3 linked regions of the Oryctolagus cuniculus genome follow. The protein of the gene in region 2 purifies or fractionates together with the protein of the main gene of each other region. This does not show direct contact. Links are inferred from orthologs where the notes say so. Each region holds a gene or a part of one and is shown on either strand. Other genes may lie near its edges.

Region 1 (4,815 bases), on a different chromosome or scaffold from region 2:
AACAGATAAAACGCTAGGAGCATTTGGGGCTGGCACTGTGGTGCAGCAGCTAAGCTGCCACCTACATCGCCAGGATCCCGCTCCAGAGCACGAGTTCGAGTCCCGGCTGCTCTCTTCCTTGCGGCTCCCTGCTAATGCCAGTGCCTGGGCCCTGCACCCACGTGGGAGACCCAGACGGAGTTCTAGGCGCTCGGCTTCAGCCTGGCCGCTGCTGCCACCTGGGGAGGGAGCCAGAGGTAGATCTCTTTCTTTCTGTCTCTCCCTCTCTTTGTCACTCTGCCTTTCAAATAAGTAAAAATAGATCTTCACCGTACGTGTGTGTGTGTTCGACTAGAAAGTGGCACTGTTGTAAAAGCCTGCAGAAAGCTGAATGGTGTGTTTGTTCGGGAGGTGTGAGGTCTGGAGCCGTGACGCAGGCTTATGCCCAGCGTTGCCTCCTGTTCCCTGGGGAAGGCAGCCTGGGCCTTGATGCTCTCTCTGGGCTGAGCCTGAGCCTTCGGATCAGAAAGGACCTGTAAAAGGGGCGTGGCCCTTGCTAGGCCCTGGAGGGCTCCGCCGCGGGTTCCTGCCTGGCTGGTGCCCGCGTCCCGGCTCTGGCTGGGGTGGGGATTAGGGCAGCAGGGTGAGGGGCGCTGCAGAGGGCGCTGCGGGCGAGACTGCAGCGGCCTCGCGTGAGTGGTGCTGGGCAGCAGTTTTCCCGTCCCCGCTGGACGTGGCCGCTAGCACGCAATGCCTCCCGTCTCCTAGCACCTCTGCGTCTCAGCGGAGGAACTTCCCATCCGTTATCTCAGCAGAGTGGCTGTCGGCTGGCAGGGCTCAGGTCAGTCCATTTGCAGGGGGACTAGAGTCCCCATCAGGCCTTGCTCTCCCGCCGGCTCTGCGTGCTGCCCCGTGCTGTGGGCAGCGCAGTCCTCTCTTTTCTCCCACGGCTCGGTCTGTGTGGCTGCAGAGCCCGCGCTGTCCACCGCAGGCTGCCCCGAGCCGAGTCCAGCTGGAACGGACGCGTCCCCAGGCTGAGGATGGGCCGCGGTCTGTGCTGGGGGTGTCTGTCACTCTAGACCCTCTTACCTGAGGCCCGGGAGCCTCTGGCGACATTCTGCCCCTCCTCACAGTCTGGGCCCCCACATCGGCGCCCTCAGGAGACCAGCCCCCGCCAGGACAGCCCCCGTGGAGCCGGCACCTTCCTGGGTGCCCACCCACTGTCCAGGCCTGGTCTGCCGGGACCCCAGCATCCCGCCCCGCCCGCCGGGGACTGCAGCCGAGCTAACACTGCCGCTCTCTCGCCCGTCCTCTCCCTCTGTCTTGGTGACGTCAGTGCAGCAGCTTCTGGAAGACGGCGCGGATCCCTGCGCAGCCGACGACAAGGGCCGCACGGCTCTCCACTTCGCCTCCTGCAATGGCAATGACCGCATTGGTGAGTCCTGGGGGAGGAGGGGGCAGGCGTGGCAAGCAGTGTCTCGGGGCGGGGGGAGGCGCGGCTGGCTGCACAGCCTCAGGATGCCCACGTGTGCTGGGGACTGGCAGCCTGGCACCCAAGTGCCCTGGCCCTCGCCCTCCCCAGGGTGAAGACCGGGCAGGGGCAGGCCCAGGCCTCAGAGGTCTTCATTCAGGCACCGCTGGCTCAGGCAGCCACAGCAGTGGCTCCTTTTATTAAAGGTGTCTTTTGAAAAATTATGGTGTGACTTGTGGTGTGTGTGTGTGTGTGCGTGCGTGTGCTCACACTGTGGGGGAGCCACCACCAGATCAAGATGGAGAATCTCTCCCAGTCCTCTCCCCCGGGGGGACCGTGTCCACCACGACTGGGGTTCCCTGTCTGTGGAGTTCACGTCCGTGGAAGCCCCCGGCGTGCTCTTTCGGTCACCGCTATGTCCGCGCGACCATCCGTGCTTGCGTGTGTGTGCCGGGAGCTTGCCTCCCCACGTCCCGGTGTGACACAGCCCCGGCCCCATCCTGCTGGGCCATTGGCATTGGCATGGTTTCCAGGTGACGGTTCTTGTACGTACACGCCCTCACCTGTAGGGGGCGACGTCCGGAGTGGAAGCCTGGCGGCTCTCTCCCCAGGTGGGTGCTGAGGGGCCGAGAGCGCCACGCCTGCCCACACCCCTGCCGGAGCCCTCTCTGTCTTTGCCACTTAGCGTTCTGGCTGGGGTCTAATTTGCATTTCTCCGCGCCAGCACTTACTGGCCATTTCAACATCCTCCTTTGTGCGTGTCTGTTCAAGTCCTTGGGCCATTTTCCCATGCAAGATGTCTTTAGAACTGCAGCGTTTTGTGTTCTGCACAGAAGTCCCTGACGTAAAGGATGACGTGCTTAGCCTGCCTTTTGTTCTCTGAGGGACGTCTTTTGAGTTACACGGTGTTTTAGGAAGGACAATGTATCAGTCTTCTCCTCTGCTTGTCGCTTGTCGGGGGTGCTGGGTGTTCTCCCAGAGCCTGACTACTGTGGCTTTCACATTTACACCCGTGACGCCTCTCAATACTTCCTGGATATCACGTGAGGCTCAGCCTGGTCGCCCTGTTCCCTGTCCTAGACTCAGCCCGTCCATCAGGCAGTAGGCAAACCCGGCCGATGGCACAGCCCTGGCGCTCAGGGGGCCCAGAGACCACCCAGGAGGGCAGGGTGACATCGTCCACAGGCCTCGCTGTGGAGGACGAAACACGCCCTTGAGAGCCCATGCCTGCAGCCACTGCTATTGGGAGAACGCTCAGCTGTGAGGTCTGGGACCCACAACACCTGCCAAGGCCAGGAGGCCCCTGGAGCCCCCAGGTCCTGCCCTAGAGTCCTGCACATGAATCCCGTTGAGTCAGTGGGTGGCTGAGTGTGTGAGCAAGTGGTGACTAGTGGGGGGACAACAGGGAGGCGCTGTGCCATCTGGGTCCCACACTCTGCGCAAGGCCTCGCTAGCGTAGGAGGGGCGCCCCCTGCCTCACCGTGGCGGGAAGCGGGGATGACAGGCGCCTCCCACAGGCCTCCTGGGCTTCCCTCTTTTCAGTGCAGCTCCTCCTGGACCACGGGGCCGATCCCAACCAGCGAGACGGGCTGGGGAACACACCGCTCCACCTGGGTAAGCGCCTCCTGAGGCCCAGACAGCTGCTGGGCTGCATAGACGGGCTCCCAGCAGGTTCTCCCAGCGTGGGGTGGGGGGAGAGCCCGATCCCCGGCTGCTGTCCCACCGGCCTGGGTCCACGGCTTTCCAGGCTCTCGGGAGTCGGCTCTGCCCTCAGCACAGCTGCTCTGGCAGCCCCACTGGGCAGATGTGGCCCGAGGCCTTGGCTGGTTGCGCCCCTCACCGGCTTGCACTGTCACTCGTGCCGGGCAGGTCCCATCTGCAGGCCTCAGTTTCCTCGGCCATGCAGGGAGGGACTTGGACTTGATGGCCGAGTCCTGCCCAGCTGACACCTTGGTGACCCTTCCCCAGGGGGCGTCACTTGGCACAGGCATGCTCCCTCTTGCAGGCACACAGGGCCAGGCTGAGGGTACCGAACTCTTTTTATATGTATATAGATTTATTCATTTAAAAGAGTTGCAGAGAGATAGGGAGAGACAGAGAGCGATCTTCCATCCACTGATTCACTCCCCAGAGTTGGGCCAGGCTGAAGCCAGGAGCCAGGAGCTTCTTCAGGCCCCCATATCGGTGGTAGGAGCCCAAGCAGTTGGGCCGTCTTCCGCTGCTCTTCCCAGGCCACTAGCGGGGAGCTGGATCAGAAGTGAAGCAGCCGGGGCCGGGGCTGTGGCGTAGCGAGTAAAGCTTCCGCCTGCAGCTCTGGCATCCTTGTGGGCGCCAGTTGGAGTCCTGGGTGCTCCACTTGCAATCCAGCAGGAAAAGCAGCAGAGGACGGCCCAAGTGCTTGGGCCCCTGCACCCCCGTGGGAGACTTGGATGAAGCTCCTGCCTTTGGCCCAGACCTGGCCATTGCAGCCATTTGGGGAGTGAACCAGCGGATAGAAGACCTCTCTCTGTCTCTCTGCCTCTGCTTCTCCCTCTCTGTAACTCTTTCAAATAAGTAAATAAATCTTAAAAAAAAAAAAAAAAAAAAAAGTGAAGCAGCCGGAACTCAAACCGGCGCCCGCAGGGGACGCCGGCACTGCAGGCGGCAGCTGTGCCCACTGCGCCGCGACGCTGGGCCCCGGGTTCTGAATTCTTGCGTCTGCTCCTCCCCAGCGGCCTGCACCAACCACGTGCCTGTGATCACCACCCTGCTGCGAGGAGGTAGGTGGCTTCTTCCCCTCCCCCGTCCTCACCTTCGCCCAGCGTGATGGCTCCCGCCTGTCCTCGCAGGCGCCCGGGTCGACGCCCTGGACCGAGCTGGCCGCACGCCCCTGCACCTGGCCAAGTCGAAGCTGAGCATCCTGCAGGAGGGCCACTCCCAGTGCCTGGAGGCCGTGCGGCTGGAGGTGAAGCAGGTGAGCCGCCTTCGGCGCCGCCCTCCCGCACGGGTGCCCGCGCTGGCCCCTGCTCCGCGGTGCCTGCTGGCGGCAGCCTGGGCCCCCGTGTCCCCAGGGGGGGCCTGGGTAGCCGGCTCACCTTCTGTTCCAGATCATCCAGATGCTGAGGGAGTACCTGGAGCGCCTGGGGCGCCACGAGCAGCGCGAGCGGCTGGATGACCTCTGCACCCGCCTGCAGATGACAAGCACCAAAGAGCAGGTGAGCCGCAGCCTCGGGGCCAGTGCACCCAGCCGCTGCAGTCTGACCTCGAGTCGGGCTGAGCCTGCGGGGCGGCAGCCCCCGCGGCCCGCAAGCCTCTGCCCGTGCGTGGCCAGCTCTCCTGGGCAGCCCCAGACCGCCTGCTGTCGAGTAGGAAGCTTGGTCAGCTGT
Region 2 (4,815 bases):
GCCTCTGGGGTCTTCTGCATGCTGGGGTTGGGGTGTTGTGTGCACCTGGTGGTGCCAGTGCAGAGACAGAGCTGGTGTGTGATGGGTTGAGAGGACCCTCCGAGGCATCCTTCCCCCTGGGGCTCTCAGAATGAGTGCTGGGGGTCCTGTTGCCAGAGCTTTATAGGACTATATTTCCTCGTGGACAATGTATCACTTTCAGGACTGATCCATTGGCCATAGCTTTGGGAGGGGATGGAGAGCTATAGAAAAAAGCGCTCACATTCTGATTTCCAGGCCAACTTGACTGCCCACCTCCCTTTCAGAACTTTAACATCTTAAAAAATGTGCTGTTTTGAATCAAAGAAGTACTTGCTTCCCCTTTATTTTGGGAACTGCAGCTTGACAGTTTCAGAGAGGGGTGGGGCTGCCCTTTAGGAGCTTCGGAGCTCAGCGAATGAAATGATAAACAAGTGGGTGATGTGGCGGTGGGACAGGCTGCAGAGAAGAAGGGAGGTTTCCTCCAGCCGTGGCTCCCCCGAGGTATTGCCTCATCTCTCCTCCCGGGCCCCAAATGCTGAATCTGGGCAGTAGCCCCCAAATCTGACAGCACTTCAGAATTACACAGATCACATGGGGAGCAAGGTGCCCCCGCCGGACCCCGGAAGAATTTCCTGGCGTGAATCCAGAGAAACTGTTCTGTGAGAACCGCTGCCCTGTAGAACCTCCGGATGCAGTGCACAGCAGATTTAGTTCTGTTTTTCATGTGTAGATTGGACCCTGAGACTACACGGTAAGGCAAGAGCCACAGCTGATTCAAATTTTTCCAAATCCTCTTTTTAGCCCCCAGAGTGCTTTGTGCCGTGCTCTGCCCAGCCTGCTCTTGTTAGTTGAGTAAGGAAATGAAAGAGCTCGGGGTTTAGGTGCATGTCAGCAGGCACTCCAGGTGCTGCTCCTGTGACTGAGTCCCCCTTCTACCATGATGACCCTACCTCCACAGTCAGGGCTCCTGGATGTCCTCGGTGTGCATCCAGTTCTGCCACCTCTCCTGGTGGCCAGACTCAGATATCTTAGTGGATTTGATCACATACATGTCACCAAGGTGACCTGTTGAGTACCTTCTTCCTGGAATCCCTTTATCAACTTTGCCACATGACCAACTTGCAGCATTTCCTTCAGGGAGCTCTCCCTGAGCACTTCCTGCTTCTCTTGCCTAAGGTAGATGCCCTTTCTGAGGTCCTGTGCAACCTCCGTCAGTGACTCGCTGCATTGTACTGCGATTTGAACTCGCACGCATTCGCCACAGCACTATAAACTAGTTGGAGAAAACATTCTGTCTGGCTGACATAAAGTGCGTACTCAGTAAATATTTGTTGATAAATGAGTGAAGGGATGAATGAATGCATAAATGGACGGTGTCTACATTTGCATGCATTAATCTGTGTACAATAGAAAACAGAGTATATTCTTTTCCTCCTCTTTAATGGAGAGATTGTGGTGGTTTGAAGCCAGTTCTGGAATGGTAAAACAATGTCATTGCTTTTATATCCAACAGGAAATATGGGATGTATAAAATCAAAAAGGAAAGACAATCTGAATGACGATGGAGTAGATTTGAAGACTCAACCAGTACGTAATACTGACCGAACTATTTATGTGAGAGATCCAACGTCCAATAAACAGCCGAGGCCAGTAAGTAGATAGTCTCAGGGGAGAATTCCCACAGCAGGATCAAAGCATGGCTGCATGGTGTACACCAGTCTGAAATATGTGCATGCAAAAATTCACGTTGATTTCTTGGGCCTCAAATAATTTCTGATACGCTTTGTAACTTCATCCTTTGAAGATCATGTAAGCATTGTAGGGATAATCATGCTGTGTACTGGGTAATCAACAGGCCTTCAGTCAACTTCTCATGCGTGGAGAATACAACCTTTCATATTACCAGTGTGAAGACCCCACTATGTCCACATAGATACAGGCTGTATGACTTAGGATAGGTATTAAGATTAGCCTGGTGGTCTGGAAGCAAAAGGAAGTGCAAGATTTAATTCAAAAACTAAGTTTGTTGTTAATATGTCTTTGGCATAGCATTCTTTGTCATGCCTTGTCATTTCTTCGATTATATTAAAATAGCAGGTATTAAAGTTGTCATAATTTGTTATAGTGAATTGAAAGATTAAGAAGAAAGCACATCTAATTCTACCCCTTAACCTTAGAGAAATGCTTGCACTAGAATTTTTTTATTTGAAAAGCAGAGAAAGAGAGAGAGGGAGAGAGAGAGAGAGGGAGAGAGAGAGAGAGAGTGCTCAAGTGACTCTTATCTGCTGGTTCATTCCCCCAAATGCCCATAACAGGCTGTGAATTGGGGCCAAAACCAGCAGTATGGAACTCAATCCAGATTCCCCCAGCTGGAATTCCCCAACTACTTGAGCCATCACCACTGGGTCCCAAGGTAAACGTTAGCAGGAAACTGGAATCAGAAGCTGGAAGAGTATCAAATCCCAGCTCACCAATGTGGGATGTGGACATCTTAACTCCTAGATCAAATATGTGCCCTTACATAGTAATTTTGTTTTATATTATTCAGTACATCTGGGAAATTATTGGCAGTAATATGGCATGTTATAGAAATTACAACTTTAAATTAATTGCAACTTTAAATCTGCATTATTTCAGATCTTATGTCCTTTGCAACTATTTTCTCACTATATATATATATACATACACATATCCTTTTAAAGCATGGTTTTATGGAATTCCTCGGCATTTAAGCTAGAAACGGCTTATTCCAGGGTAGCTGAAATGCCTTCATTAAGAATTTTCAAGGCCAGCATTGTGGTGGAGCACATTAAGCCATTGCTTGTGATGCCGGCATCCTGTATTGGAATACTTGTTTGAGTACTAGCTTCTCGGCTTCCTATCCAATTGCCTACTTACTGGCCTGGGAAGGCAGCAGATCATGGTCTGGGTACTTGGGTACTTGCCACCCACATGGGAGACCCAGATGGAGTTCTAGGCCCCTGCCTTGGCCTGGCCCAGTCCTGGCATATGTGAATTTGGAGAGTGAACCAGTGGATAGAAGTGCCCTCTTTCTCTCTCACTCTCTCTCTCTCTGTCTCCTTGTTTCTCTCTTACCCTCTTTCCCTCCCTATGACTCAGCCTTTCAAATAAATAAGTCTTTTAAGAAAAAAGTTTTCATAGGTTTAGTCTGACATGCTTTTAAAAGTCTTATCATTTTAGAAATGTGTTCTAAGTCCATCTGTCTGCCCTCCCCCCAGCCTTTTTCCATTACCTTGAGGGTAGAACATATTAATCCCATGTTAGAGTCACATGTCAAAGTCACGTGTCATCACTGAGAATGACAACTCCAAGTTAGCCTTATTAAAAGGAGACAAAGAGTCAATATATTATGCTATGAAGCTTCATATGTGATGTTTTTGGATAAATTCACATTGTGATTTTTATTCTCAAAGTATGTAAGAATATCAATAGCTATGATAATTTAATGATAACATATATATAGTATTGTAAAACATAGGTATTACAGATGCAAAACTAGATATCATATAGCTATGATTAGTAGAAAGTAACATAAGGGGAATTGGAATCACAAAGAGTTTCCTTATAGACTTCAAAGTTCTCATGAGAGGATCTGTTTTCTCCTGGCATCATGTGCATCTGTTATACAGTCTTTAAAACCCAAGCATTTTTTGTTCTTTCTGTTTCTGTGTTTAAATGATAGACCAAGGCATCCTTTATTCAGAAAAGCAGAGACAAATACAAATGTACACATCATTTTTGCCTCTTGTTCAGAGTATAAGTCATTAGAAATCAAGCTAGAAAGCAGAAGTAATGAACATGTCCAAAGTCTTTCAATTCCATCATGTGTACTGTAAATATTTTAGTTTATGCCTTCTGTGGTCACAAGTGCCCTTGATTTGTGAGCTGGTGAGTTTGAGCTCATTCCATGGCTACAGATAACACCCTCAGGCCCACTCAGCTGTCCCTAAACACACATCCTGGATTGATTACAGAGGAACCTGATGAGATAGTGGGGTGAAATTGATGCAAATTCAGTGGTACTCTAGCAAAAGCCATTTTAGGGAAAAAGCTAGAGCAGTGACGTGGAGTCACACATACGTGTTTTGGTTGTACGAAGGCTGTTAAAATGTTTGTAAATTAAGGTGCTTTGATATTAGAAACTCAATTTGCTGCTTTCAGAATTATTCAGCTTCTCATCTTCTGATTATTTCCTCTAAATCATATAGAATAGATCAGACATCCTAATTATGCAAATCTAAGTGACTGCAAAATCAGTATAAAACTTCTTGAAGTATTGAAGGATGGTATGGAATGGATTTTCGGATTTCACAGTACAGCAATCGTCCCCACCCACCCACCCTGATGAAGTGGAGATAATTGGCTGATGTTGATCAGAAATTCAAATTGTAATTTCAGTATAAACTGTCCATGAAATCACTTTCATCAAAGAGAAACAGAATGTTACATGGGTTGTGGTGGAGGCCTCTGAGAGTACCTTCCTTAGATGAGCCTCACTGTGCCACTGCAGGAAAGAGGAATTTGAGCTAAATGTAACCAAGGTGAACTGTGGTACCACCAGGCCCCTCCCAACTCTGGGAAGAGTGGGGCGCTGTCTGAGTCAAGGGCAGCCCGAGAAAGCCTGGATGGGTTGGGACTTGTTCTTCACTGCTGGTGACAGAGCCGTGACCACATGTATTCAAACAAGTCCCCGGAACAGGGAGACGGCCAGCTCTGGGCTGACATGACACTTCTAGAAGGTCACCAGGACCCCGGTCACTTAGGTTTCTCCCT
Region 3 (4,815 bases), on a different chromosome or scaffold from region 2:
GCCTGGGCCCTCCTCACGCCGCGGGGCCCGCAGACCTCCCGGCCCTTCTTAGAACGGGGTTGGGGAGCTCTGAGTGTATCCCAGCGTTGCTCCCATGTGGAGTGAAATGAAAATTTGCTGAGCGAATTTCTCTCCTAAAACTGTTCTGCAGGCTGAGGTTTTATTTAGAAATAATTTCATAATCAACATAACACGCGTTTGCAGCTGCACGGTAGTACCGGAGATTGCACAGAGCCTTCGCCCGATTGCCCTGTGGCAGCTCCTTAGCTAACCGTGGTGTCAGCCTGGGCCTCGGAACACCAGTGGTGCCCTCACGGTCCTGTGCGCTCACTGATCGACCTTCAGGTTCAGCGCTTGGTTCTGTGCAGGATGCTGCATGCATGTGGCTGCCTTAACTCCGGGTATCCTTGGATGTGGCACTGCTCCCCCAGAAGCCTTGCTATGCAGTGACTGTAGGCATCTCGTGTCACTTCTCATATCCCTGAACCAAACATGGCAAATCCATTTGAGTGTAGTTTTACATATCCTGGAGAGAAGTGAAAAAAAAAATGGTTAAAATAAAAAATCACCATGAAATGTTGCAGGAAAAGTCTTCAAGACAAACTGGCTGGAAAAAAAAAATCCCAGAAGTCTTAGAAATCAGGTGGAACAGGAAAAAAAAGTCATGAGGACCCAGCAGACTGTGCCACCCCTTTCCTGAGAGGCTGCAGGCTGCATAAATACGCTCTCAAAATTCGGCACTAGGTCCTGAGACCACACCACTTTAGAAGTTCTGAAAACGAGAAGCCTGGGGTAGATGTTTTATACAGGGAGCGTCCTCAGAAGGTGCAGGTTCTGTGCAATCAGGGTGAATATCTGTCATTGCAAGGAGACATTGCCCGCGAATGTTGAGGTGCTGCCAGCCCGGGGCCCCAGATCCCCGGGGCTGAGACCCTGGGAGACACTGACATTGGCTTCTCCTCCTAGAAGTGGACGCGACATTACTGTGCCATCGCCGATGCCAAGCTGTCTTTCAGTGACGACATAGAGCAGGCGGTGGAGGAAGAGCCGCCCCAGGTAGGCGGGGACCCAGCCGCACCTGTGCTTCTCAGCCCTTAACTGCTGCCTCTTGGGGACCCAAGTTCCAGCTGGCTCTTCTCTGGTTGGCTGGTTGGACTGTTTGTTTGACCAATAAGGTTCGAGGCTCTTTCCTGCTTCCTGAAAGGCCTGATTGGCCTTGGATCGTGGTCTGTGCTCCCTGGGGATGCTCACTGCCTGTCCTCTCCCCTCCAGCTGCCTTGAGTGGACCCCCAGAGTGGGAGGGCGTTCAGACCTCCTGGAGAACAGAATTGAGGGCTGTGTGTGTGTGTGTGTGTGTGTGTGGCGGGGGGACCCTGTGTCTCAGGACCACAGGGGCAGGTCGCAGGCAGGCGAGGGCAGTGGCAGCTGTCGGAGACCACTCTTCTCTCTGTGGCCCAGGATACGCCCCCCACGGAGCTGCATTTTGGGGAGAAATGGTTTCACAAGAAGGTCGAGAAGCGGATGAGTGCCGAGAAACTTCTGCAAGACTACTGCGCCGAGACAGGGGGCAAGGATGGCACATTCCTGGTGCGCGAGAGCGAGACCTACCCGGACAAGTACACCCTGTCCTTTTGGTAATGCCCTCTCTCCCCGTCGGAGCTGGCTGGGTGGGAGCAGGCCTCATGCTGGGGCTGGAGCCTGGACCCCAGGCCTCGCTGAGGGGGCTGTGCTGGCCCAGGACCAGAGTGTGCAGCACTGAGCCTCACTCGTCAGGATGAGTGACATTCCAATGCAGGAGTCAGAATACGAATATTTGAAATGAAGACGAGATCAGACCCTGCACCTGGACGGTGCGGGCCCACCTGCCGCCCCTAATCCTGGCCCTGGACAGCTCTATTCACTGAATTTATTGAGCGCTTGCTGTCTGCCTAGGCAGAGTAATTTAGCGGTGAACATAGTCCCTGGAAAAGCAGTCCTAGCAATGACACAGCCGGCCTCTGTGCCTGCAGGTTCTGCGTCTGCAGGCTGAGCCAGCCCCAGATGGAGAATGCCTGGACAGGACTGAGTCTGTGTTGCACGAGTCTGGACTTGTGTTTTCCTGTCGCTGTTCTGTGAGCAGCAGGGCATGGCAGCTGTTCAGTTAGCACTTGCATTGCGTTGAAGGCTGCTCAGTGGTCTAGGGACGCTTTAAGGGGCTGGGTGTGGGTTCTGTGCAGACACTGCTCCACGTCACTGAAGGGACTGGAGCATGCACGGATTTTGCCTTCTATGGGGGCTTGTGGAACCAATCCCCCTGAGTCCGAGGGCTGACTGCGCACTTGACTTTGTGATGGGTGTGATGGAAACAGCGGAGATTCCGGAAGGCCGTAACAGAGCGAGTTCAGAGGGAACTCGTGCAGTGTGGGCGGGGGGTGAGAAAGTCTGCGAGGGAGGACCCGGCGCAGCCTTGGGGGCACAGAGGGGAAGATTCAGAGAAGAGGAGAGCTGGGGGTGAAAGTCTTTTTTTTTTTTTTAATTTGACAGAGTTATAGACAGTGAGAGAGAAAGAGAGAAAGGTCTTCCTTCCGTTGGTTCACTCCCCAAATGGCCGCTACAGCCGGTGCTGTGCCGATCCAAAGCCAGGAGCCAGGTGCTTCCTCCTGGTCTCCCAAGTGGGTGCAGGAGCCCAAGCACTTGGGCCATCTTCCACTGCCCTCCCAGGCCACAGCAGAGAGCTGGACTGGAAGAGGAGCAACCGGGACTAGAACCCGCTGCCCATATGGGATGCCGGCGCTGCAGGCGGAGGATTAGCCTAGTGAGCCGCGGCGCTGGCCGGGGTGCAAGTCTTAATAGCAGTGCAGCAGTGAGGGAGCTGTCGGCTCTGGGGGCGGCTGCGTGCTGGGCAGTGGCGCTCCAGGTTCATCTCTTGTGTGGTCGCGGTCACCTCCAGAGATGCTGTGACCTTCCCTTTGACCTCTAGGATGAAAAAACTGAGGCTCATACAGGACGGGTCACTTGCTCAAGGACACTTAGCTCGGAGGTGGCCCAGCTGGGATTTGCAGCTGGGCATCCAGAGTAGGAGTTAAGTAGACAAAGAGGAGGCAGTGGACAGGAAAAATCCTTCCGGGAGGTTCTGTATTCCAGGCAAAAGGACCAGACTGCGGTATCGCCCTGGGTCTGCTGTGGGGGCAGAGGGAAGGCCGTGTGGCCACAGCAGGAGTCATCCCCGGGGTCTGGCTGGAGTGCTCTGCCACCCCCCCACCCCCGACCCCGCGCCCGGGCCTGGCCCAGCTGGCCCCAACAGCGTCCCCTCCCTGCAGGCGATCCGGCCGTGTCCAGCACTGCTTGATCCGCTCCACCGTGGAGGGCGGCACCACGAAGTACTACCTGACTGACAACCTCAAGTTCACCAGCATCTACGCCCTCATCCAGCACTACCGCGAGGCGCACCTGCGCTGCACCGAGTTCGAGCTGCAGCTCACCGACCCCGTGCCCAACCCCAACCCTCACGAGTCGAAGCCGTACGTGGTGGGGTTGGTGGGAGGCACACAGCCTGGGGTCAGGTGCACTGGTCAGAGGGGCCGCCCTGGAGGGCCCCTGTGGCCCTGGGTATCCCAGTTCCCAGGGGAGGCAGATTCCTGCTGCCTGCTGCCGGCTGCCGGTGGCCCTGGGTATCCCAGTTCCCAGGGGAGGCAGATTCCTGCTGCCTGCTGCCGGTGGCCCTGGGTATCCCAGTTCCCAGGGGAGGCAGATTCCTCCTGCCTGCTGCCGGTGGCCCGTGTTCCTTTCCTCTCGCCCGTGCCCCCTCCTCGCTTTGCTTCTGCTTGACCTTCCGCATCCTGAGGTCCTGGCCTTTGGTTTTCGAAGTTCATTTTGGCCCACAGCGTCTGCTTGTGGAAGCCCCTTCCTGTTGTTCTAACCATGAACAAGGACAAGAGCTGCAAGTGTGTGCCCTCCAGTTCTCTGTTCAGGGAAGTACCAGATCATGCCTGGCAGAGGGTCAACACGTTCTGGAAGTAAACAAGAAAAATCCACTTTTGAGCCAAAAGGCACATTTTTGTGGAAGGCGGGGAACTTTTCCTGTCCCTTTCCATCTGGGTTGCTCCTACAGCCTTTCACCTCTTAAGAAATAACCAAGAAAAATTTAAAAACCTCCTCCTGCACCGTCACTCACGTTCCCTGCCTCGGATTTGCTGAGTCGCTGCAACAACCTGGGCTTGGGCAGGCCGCGTGGTGATGAGGTGGCTTTTCCTCTCATGCCCACGCAGGTGCACTTGGTCTCTTAGTGGTCTTTTCAAACCTTGCTGTTTTCCACGCTGCTTTTGTCTGGGGAAGCCCACCGGGCAGTTTGCAAGCCCCTGGGTCCCGAGCTTCCATGCCCCGTGGGTGGTGGCCTGCGTTCCCCAGGGCGGGCCCTCACCTGGTGTCTCGCTGGCCTCCCTGGGCTGCAGGTGGTTCTACGATGCGCTGAGCCGCGGGGAAGCCGAGGACATGCTCATGCGGATCCCGCGGGACGGCGCGTTCCTGATCCGCAGGCGGGAAGGAAGCGACTCCTACGCCATCACCTTCAGGTAGCAGGGACAGGTGGGGACGGCAGAGGCGGGGCTTCGGGTAGAGGCCTGCCCCGCAGCGTCCTCTCCCCCAGCATGGACAAGCACGCGACGGCCACAGCAGCGTGTGTGTGCCCTGCTCGTGCACCAGGCGCTCTGAGGTTCCCGCGTGTTCTCTGGAGTACAGGCTGAGCCTGCCTGGTCTGGACATCTGAAATCCAAAATCCCTGCAAAACCTGAAACTTACTGAGTGCCCTTGCGACGCCACAAGTGGAAAATCCTACAC

The links. Proteins that work in one complex are often made in the same cells at the same time.
Region 1: the proteins of LYN (region 2) and ANKRD54 purify together in Homo sapiens (affinity purification with mass spectrometry; 3 studies listed by BioGRID and IntAct, with this or other methods). This does not show direct contact. The link is inferred for Oryctolagus cuniculus from reciprocal best matches to the Homo sapiens genes LYN and ANKRD54.
Region 3: the proteins of LYN (region 2) and PLCG2 purify together in Homo sapiens (affinity purification with western blotting; 3 studies listed by BioGRID, with this or other methods). This does not show direct contact. The link is inferred for Oryctolagus cuniculus from reciprocal best matches to the Homo sapiens genes LYN and PLCG2.

What each region holds. Positions count from the first base shown.
Region 1 is NC_091442.1:114,671,286-114,676,100, reverse strand, and holds part of ANKRD54 (ankyrin repeat domain-containing protein 54), read left to right. Parts: intron 1-1,315; coding exon 1,316-1,414; intron 1,415-2,992; coding exon of another isoform or gene 2,993-2,997; coding exon 2,998-3,064; intron 3,065-4,072; coding exon 4,073-4,209; intron 4,210-4,278; coding exon 4,279-4,403; intron 4,404-4,536; coding exon 4,537-4,644; intron 4,645-4,815. UniProt on the Homo sapiens protein: Plays an important role in regulating intracellular signaling events associated with erythroid terminal differentiation.
Region 2 is NC_091437.1:81,206,244-81,211,058, forward strand, and holds part of LYN (tyrosine-protein kinase Lyn), read left to right. Parts: intron 1-1,534; 5' UTR 1,535-1,539; coding exon 1,540-1,671; intron 1,672-4,815. UniProt on the Homo sapiens protein: Non-receptor tyrosine-protein kinase that transmits signals from cell surface receptors and plays an important role in the regulation of innate and adaptive immune responses, hematopoiesis, responses to growth factors and cytokines, integrin signaling, but also responses to DNA damage and genotoxic agents.
Region 3 is NC_091449.1:63,944,928-63,949,742, forward strand, and holds part of PLCG2 (1-phosphatidylinositol 4,5-bisphosphate phosphodiesterase gamma-2), read left to right. Parts: intron 1-966; coding exon 967-1,056; intron 1,057-1,458; coding exon 1,459-1,634; intron 1,635-3,299; coding exon 3,300-3,500; intron 3,501-4,430; coding exon 4,431-4,550; intron 4,551-4,815. UniProt on the Homo sapiens protein: The production of the second messenger molecules diacylglycerol (DAG) and inositol 1,4,5-trisphosphate (IP3) is mediated by activated phosphatidylinositol-specific phospholipase C enzymes. It is a crucial enzyme in transmembrane signaling.